2 linked regions of the Xenopus tropicalis genome follow. The protein of the gene in region 2 binds, or shares a complex with, the protein of the main gene of each other region. Links are inferred from orthologs where the notes say so. Each region holds a gene or a part of one and is shown on either strand. Other genes may lie near its edges.

Region 1 (4,273 bases), on a different chromosome or scaffold from region 2:
GGTTCTGACTCCTGATACAACTCCCCAATATCCATTCATCCCTCATTCTCACTGGGTTTATAGTTATGTGTAACTGTCACTGTGTCTGTCCCTTTCCCTTCCCTGCACTGCTGGTTCTGACTCCTGATACAACTCCCCAATATCCATTCATCCCTCATTCTCACTGGGTTTATAGTTATGTGTAACGGTCACTGTGTCTGTCCCTTTCCCTTCCCTGCACTGCTGGTTCTGACTCCTGATACAACTCCCCAATACCCATTCATCCCTCATTCTCACTGGGTTTATAGTTATGTGTAACTGTCACTGTGTCTGTCCCTTTCCCTTCCCTGCACTGCTGGTTCTGACTCCTGATACAACTCCCCAATATCCATTCATCCCTCATTCTCACTGGGTTTATAGTTATGTGTAACTGTCACTGTGTCTGTCCCTTTCCCTTCCCTGCACTGCTGGTTCTGACTCCTGATACAACTCCCCAATATCCATTCATTCCTCATTCTCACTGGGTTTATAGTTATGTGTAACTGTCACTGTGTCTGTCCCTTTCCCTGCACTGCTGGTTCTGACTCCTGATACAACTCCCCAATATCCATTCATTCCTCATTCTCACTGGGTTTATAGTTATGTGTAACTGTCACTGTGTCTGTCCCTTTCCCTTCTCTGCACTGCTGGTTCTGACTCCTGATACAACTCCCCAATATCCATTCATTCCTCATTCTCACTGGGTTTATAGTTATGTGTAACTGTCACTGTGTCTGTCCCTTTCCCTTCCCTGCACTGCTGGTTCTGACTCCTGATACAACTCCCCAATATCCATTCATCCCTCATTCTCACTGGGTTTATAGTTATGTGTAACTGTCACTGTGTCTGTCCCTTTCCCTTCCCTGCACTGCTGGTTCTGACTCCTGATACAACTCCCCAATATCCATTCATTCCTCATTCTCACTGGGTTTATAGTTATGTGTAACTGTCACTGTGTCTGTCCCTTTCCCTTCCCTGCACTGCTGGTTCTGACTCCTGATACAACTCCCCAATATCCATTCATCCCTCATTCTCACTGGGTTTATAGTTATGTGTAACTGTCACTGTGTCTGTCCCTTTCCCTTCTCTGCACTGCTGGTTCTGACTCCTGATACAACTCCCCAATATCCATCCATTCATTCCTCATTCTCACTGGGTTTATAGTTATGTGTAACTGTCACTGTGTCTGTCCCTTTCCCTTCCCTGCACTGCTGGTTCTGACTCCTGATACAACTCCCCAATACCCATTCATTCCTCATTCTCACTGGGTTTATAGTTATGTGTAACTGTCACTGTGTCTGTCCCTTTCCCTTCCCTGCACTGCTGGTTCTGACTCCTGATACAACTCCCCAATATCCATTCATCCCTCATTCTCACTGGGTTTATAGTTATGTGTAACTGTCACTGTGTCTGTCCCTTTCCCTTCCCTGCACTGCTGGTTCTGACTCCTGATACAACTCCCCAATACCCATTCATCCCTCATTCTCACTGGGTTTATAGTTATGTGTAACTGTCACTGTGTCTGTCCCTTTCCCTTCCCTGCACTGCTGGTTCTGACTCCTGATACAACTCCCCAATATCCATTCATCCCTCATTCTCACTGGGTTTATAGTTATGTGTAACTGTCACTGTGTCTGTCCCTTTCCCTTCCCTGCACTGCTGGTTCTGACTCCTGATACAACTCCCCAATATCCATTCATTCCTAATTCTCACTGGGTTTATAGTTATGTGTAACTGTCACTGTGTCTGTCCCTTTCCCTTCTCTGCACTGCTGGTTCTGACTCCTGATACAACTCCCCAATATCCATCCATTCATTCCTCATTCTCACTGGGTTTATAGTTATGTGTAACTGTCACTGTGTCTGTCCCTTTCCCTTCCCTGCACTGCTGGTTCTGACTCCTGATACAACTCCCCAATACCCATTCATTCCTCATTCTCACTGGGTTTATAGTTATGTGTAACTGTCACTGTGTCTGTCCCTTTCCCTTCCCTGCACTGCTGGTTCTGACTCCTGATACAACTCCCCAATATCCATTCATTCCTCATTCTCACTGGGTTTATAGTTATGTGTAACTGTCACTGTGTCTGTCCCTTTCCCTTCCCTGCACTGCTGGTTCTGACTCCTGATACAACTCCCCAATACCCATTCATCCCTCATTCTCACTGGGTTTATAGTTATGTGTAACTGTCACTGTGTCTGTCCCTTTCCCTTCCCTGCACTGCTGGTTCTGACTCCTGATACAACTCCCCAATATCCATTCATCCCTCATTCTCACTGGGTTTATAGTTATGTGTAACTGTCACTGTGTCTGTCCCTTTCCCTTCCCTGCACTGCTGGTTCTGACTCCTGATACAACTCCCCAATATCCATTCATTCCTCATTCTCACTGGGTTTATAGTTATGTGTAGCTGTCACTGTGTAACACTATAGCTTGTTACACTTACAGTTCACACACACCTACCCCGTCACTTTGCCCCTCCCTCCATAACAGACCCTTCCATCCCAAACCTAACTCTCCCCTCACACAGCTGGTTTCCCCCACTTCCCCCCCCCCCCCGCTCCCATGGTCCCGCCCGGTGCCACTCACCCACTCATTGGCTTTGGGGCTGAAGCGATAGAGAGCGACGTGCCCGGTCACATCCACTATGTTACTGATATAGGGGTCAGACTGCCGCAGCGCCGCTAGACTCATCTCTTGCCCAGCCTTCTCCCGAACCGCCATCTTTCCTAGCGGAACAGCAGCGGGCTGGAGTGGGGCTCACACCTTAAATGTCCGCCAGCTCCGCAGCCCCGGCACAATGGTTCCTACCAGCAACGTTCCGCCCGCTCCGAGCTTCCCTATTGGTGCAACCAGAAATGTGGTCTGAGCAAGAAACAGAAGGTTTAGGGGAACTTTATTTTTACCATGGGTTTTGTTGACATATAACTTGTACACCAGCCTAGGGGAAACATAACTTTGAGTCTTGTCTAAAGTTGAGTAATAACTTTAGTGTCAAGGGACCCTGCCATGATGTTTATGGGGCTGTTTATCTCTAAATGACCCTGTTACACAGCAAATAATTCCCTCTGCCATTTAACCTTTTATTCTTCAACCAACAAATGTATTTGTAGCTGTAATATTGGTGTGTAGGCGCCATCTCAGTGCCTTGTGCCTGAGTCTGAGCTTTCAGCCAGCGCTACACATTAGAACTGCTTTCAGCTAACCTATTGTTTCTCCTACTCCCATGTAACTGGAGGAGTCCCAAGCCGGACTTGGATTTCTTACTATTGAGTGCTATTCTGATACCTACTGGGAGCTGCTATCTTGCTCCCTTCCCATTGTTCTGCTGATCGGCTGCTGGGGGTGAGGGGGGGGGGGATATCAATCCAACTTGCAGCGCAGCAGTAAAGTGTGCCTGAGTCTGAGCTTTCAGCCAGCGCTACACATTAGAACTGCTTTCAGCTAACCTATTGTTTCTCCTACTCCCATGTAACTGGAGGAGTCCCAAGCCGGACTTGGATTTCTTACTATTGAGTGCTATTCTGATACCTACTGGGAGCTGCTATCTTGCTCCCTTCCCATTGTTCTGCTGATCGGCTGCTGGGGGTGAGGGGGGGGGGGATATCACTCCAACTTGCAGCGCAGCAGTAAAGTGTGCCTGAGTCTGAGCTTTCAGCCAGCGCTACACATTAGAACTGCTTTCAGCTAACCTATTGTTTCTCCTACTCCCATGTAACTGGAGGAGTCCCAAGCCGGACTTGGATTTCTTACTATTGAGTGCTATTCTGATACCTACTGGGAGCTGCTATCTTGCTCCCTTCCCATTGTTCTGCTGATCGGCTGCTGGGGGTGAGGGGGGGGGGGGGGATATCAATCCAACTTGCAGCGCAGCAGTAAAGTGTTCCTGAGTCTGAGCTTTCAGCCAGCGCTACACATTAGAACTGCTTTCAGCTAACCTATTGTTTCTCCTACTCCCATGTAACTGGAGGAGTCCCAAGCCGGACTTGGATTTCTTACTATTGAGTGCTATTCTGATACCTACTGGGAGCTGCTATCTTGCTCCCTTCCCATTGTTCTGCTGATCGGCTGCTGGGGGTGAGGGGGGGGGATATCACTCCAACTTGCAGCGCAGCAGTAAAGTGTGCCTGAGTCTGAGCTTTCAGCCAGCGCTACACATTAGAACTGCTTTCAGCTAACCTATTGTTTCTCCTACTCCCATGTAACTGGAGGAGTCCCAAGCCGGACTTGGATTTCTTACTATTGAGTGCTATTC
Region 2 (4,145 bases):
TGTATTAAAAGGGGGAATAGATTCACGGGAGGAGGGTGTAATTCTTCCCCTTTACACAGCGCTGGTAAGGCCCCATCTAGAATATGCTGTTCAGTTCTGGTCTCCAGTGCTCAAACAGGACATGATTGAGTTAGAGAGGGTCCAGAGAAGGGCAACTAAGCTGGTAAAGGGTATGGAAAGTCTCAGTTATGAAGAAAGACTGGCCAAGTTGGGTCTGTTTACACTGGAGAAGAGGCGCTTAAGAGGTGACATGATAACTATGTATAAATATATAAGGGGATCATATAATAACCTTTCTAATGTTTTATTTACCAGTAGGCCCTTCCAACGGACACGAGGGCACCCACTCCGTTTAGAAGAAGGGAGGTTCCGTTTAAATATTCGGAAAGGATTTTTTACTGTGAGAGCTGTGAAGTTGTGGAATTCCCTCCCTGAATCAGTCGTGCTGGCTGATACATTATATAACTTTAAGAAGGGGCTGGATGGATTCTTAGCAAGTGAGGGAATACAGGGTTATGGGAGATAGCTCTTAGTACAAGTTGATCCAGGGACTGGCCATCTTGGAGTCAGGAAGGAATTTTTTCCCCCCTGCGGCAAGTTAGAAAGGCTTCAGATGGGGTTTTTTGCCTTCCTCTGGATCAACTAGAAGTTAGGCAGGTTATATATAGGCATTATGGTTGAACGTGATGGGCTTATGTCTTTTTTCAACCTAACTTACTATGTACCTGATTATTTGAGCAGCAACGTTCTACATGCTCCTCCCTAGGGTTCAGGAGTGAATGGATCGTAATTATTTTAGGCATAGTTACATTTCTAACAATGCCTAAAGTTATTTTATGCATTTACATAATTTTACATAACTGTGCTGGCAAGTAATTTGAGTGTGAAATATAACTTATTGTTAGAAACATAATGGTACCCCCATTAAAAGCCAAAAGATCAGTTCATTTTAAGCACAGGAAAAGCATACAATTGTATTTAGTGACTGCTTTATGATATAGGTTAATATCCATGTTTACATTTTGATTTTTGTTGAAGTTAAAAAAAAATAGATAATATGGTTTCATCAAGCTCAATGACTCTGTATGTTTAACAGCCAAAATACAAGGGCTTTGGGAGTGGTAGGATATAACAGACCAGAAGAATCAGCCAGAATGCTGCAGCAGGGACTAATCAAGGAGTTGGGAGTAGGTAGAATGCTGCAGAATTGAGGAATCAGGGTGCAGAAAGAAGAAATAGGCTGTAGCCCAGATCAGTCGACTACTTGTAGCTAGCAGGTAGAATGCTTCAACTCAGAGGAACCAGTGAGCAGGATGGAAGGAAGTGGTCAGAGACAAGAGAGAGGGAGGGGAAGGAGGAGGAGGAAGCAGGACAGAAAAAGTATGCTCGGAACAGCCCGGAACAATCACTTACACATGGGGGGATTAATCAGAGCTTAATTTATGGAATAATTTTTAGTAACAGAGTAGGGCTCGCTGTCATTTTGCACACAACTGTCCTAAAATGGACACCGTACACTGAATGCAAGTAATGAGTGACAGCAGCGAAGGAATCAGTTTCTCTGTACCATGCTCACGGCTGCCTGGCTCAAGCTGCTGTGCTCATGAAGACACAGGAGGGCTTACGCTACAGGAAAATGCCACCATATGCGGTGGAACCAGGATCCCTGAAGCTGGAAGCTTCTGGCGTGAAGATTACCTCCGTGCTTCAGCGGTTGGAAGTGGTAAAGATGCCCCATGCTATGGAAAGTGGGTTAACCCCCCTCCTACAGCTAGCGGAGGTATTAGCCTTCGTAGGATTACTGTGGTATATGTTATCAATGAAGTAAGTCCGGAGTTGCATGCTTGTGAGGCTGCTGCATTATACAGTTTGCAGGAGGCATGTGAGAACCATGGGGCACTGCTTGAGACCCTGGATTTCGGCAAACTGGACTTTGGCGAGACGTCAGTGCTAGACACCTTCTACAATGCAGGTAATAGAGGGTCTGACTGACATGCTAGAGTATTAGATGATGGGCACCAGATCTGGTATTTTTATTTCCACCCTTGTTCAAGGTGATAATCATATTTAGTATTGACTCCAGATCATATGTGAGGGTGTGCACACCAGGTCAGTTTCACAGTTGGAGGCCCAGCCTGACACTGGGTAACAGTCTTGGTGGGAAGAAAGGGGAAGTCCTGAGAGAAGACAAACAGAGCTACTAGTAGCAGCTACTTGTCATGGCTACTAAAACAGACAATGCTGATCATATACTGATAGCTGTCTCTAGGTGTGTTTTAGCAAAGGCAATTCTCAGTATTGTCTATGGCAGGGTTTTTTTCTGGCATTTAGTAGCCGTGACAAGTAGCTGCTACTAAGTAGCTCCGTGTGTCTTCGCCCTTAATCTTATCATGAGGCCCATGTTTACTGTTCGTATGCTCTCCCTCCTCTGTGTGCATGGGTTTCTTCCCCTACTTCAAAAACCATACAGTCAGGTTAATTGGTCTCTGATAAAACTGCCCCCTCTTTGTGATGGAAAACTTTGTAAGCTCCACTGGGGCAGTGAATGATGTATAATCTCTGTAAAATGTGACAGTGCTATATATATATATATATGTATATATGTATATATATATATATATATAATAACAAAAAAAATTTAAAATAATATTTTTTGGTATATATATATATATATATATATATATATATATATATATATATATATATACACCAAGAAATATTATTTTTAAAATGCTGGTTGATCTGGAGCAAACTGTACACTAGTTAGTTACTTTGTTGATATGTAGTATGTGCTAGCAGCCCTCATTGAAAGGCAGACACCTGGGGGCACATTCATCAATGTACTATTGTGCCTGAATACTAAAAATTTGTATTTTTCTTAAGTTTTAGAACTGTGCGTATTTTCTGCAATTTTTTTTCCTTAATTTGCGTGACTTTTTCATACTTTGCAACAATTTGTGCAACAAAATCGTATTTGTCACAACTAGTACGAAAGTTTCGGAATTCATTCAAGCTTCAGTATTGTTACTTTCCTTGGGCCAGGTTGGAGCTGCAGAGTGCCTTTGAGTCCTGTGGGAGGCTTCCAAAAACATGCACAGAAGTTTCAAAGTCAGAAAGTTTTTTGTGCCGTTTCCAATCTTTCGTATACGAAAATTTAGTAACTTTCGTATCAAACCACTATACTTTCGTACAAGCATGATGCGACTTTTTGCAAAATTAACTCACATCAGAAATTGCAAATTGTTGCAAATCGTACTCGGAATTCGTACTTTAATGAATCGTCCCCCTGGTGTTCACTGTGTTTTGACCAGCTATGCCATAAGACAAATGGGTAATTAGTAACATCCGTATCATATTATACAATGAGAGTATGAGAGTACAATAATTAGTGAGGAGCAGTGGGCAATGGTAATCTAAGAATATTATATATGAAAAGATATATGGCAGCATACAAAAGCCATTCTAGCATTTGCTAGATCAGTGCTGTCCAACTGGCGGCCCGCGGGCCGCATGCGGCCCTCGACCCCCCTCTGTGTGGCCCCCCACCTGTCTGGCTGCTTTGATGGCTTACTCTTGTGTAAGCTTTAAATGGTATCAGTACTGTGATTAACTGGCCCCCCCTGCATGGTTCTCACCTCAGATTCAGGCTGTAATCAGGCTGTATTGTTTAAATATGTAATCCCCTGTACTGTTCACACCTTTTAATCCCTGCATTGTTCACCCCCTGCAGTGTTCAAACCTCAGGCTCAGGCTGTAATCACTCCCATTGTTCTCCTGTTCACACCTCAGGAGCAGTAGAAACCCACAAATAAACCCTGCACACTACAAAAGCAACATACACTGAGGTGGTACTGCAATTAAAAAGTTTTTTAATATATAGTTATTGTGCAGACTGTTGGAGCAGTGCCAGCATTCTGTCACTGTAGGCTGCCTGTGTTTGCCATACACACAGGCAGGGTAGGGAAGGCAGAGTATGGCACACACAGGCAGGGTAGGGAAGGCAGATTATGGCACACACAGGCAGGGTAGGGAAGGCAGAGTATGGCACACACAGGCAGGGTAGGGCAGGCAGAGTATGGCACACACAGGCCAAGTATGGCACAAACCAGCCAAGAATGGCACACACAGTGAAAGTATGGCACACA

The links. Proteins that work in one complex are often made in the same cells at the same time.
Region 1: map3k5 (region 2) and dcp1a share a complex: the UniProt entries of both Homo sapiens proteins name them as parts of the cytoplasmic complex. The link is inferred for Xenopus tropicalis from reciprocal best matches to the Homo sapiens genes MAP3K5 and DCP1A.

The regions. Positions count from the first base shown.
Region 1 is NC_030680.2:150,714,604-150,718,876, reverse strand, and holds the start of dcp1a (mRNA-decapping enzyme 1A), read right to left. Parts: upstream 2,801-4,273; 5' UTR 2,743-2,800; coding exon 2,608-2,742; intron 1-2,607. UniProt on the Homo sapiens protein: Necessary for the degradation of mRNAs, both in normal mRNA turnover and in nonsense-mediated mRNA decay. Removes the 7-methyl guanine cap structure from mRNA molecules, yielding a 5'-phosphorylated mRNA fragment and 7m-GDP.
Region 2 is NC_030681.2:59,037,056-59,041,200, reverse strand, and holds the start of map3k5 (mitogen-activated protein kinase kinase kinase 5), read left to right. Parts: upstream 1-1,337; 5' UTR 1,338-1,521; coding exon 1,522-1,972; intron 1,973-4,145. UniProt on the Homo sapiens protein: Serine/threonine kinase which acts as an essential component of the MAP kinase signal transduction pathway. Plays an important role in the cascades of cellular responses evoked by changes in the environment.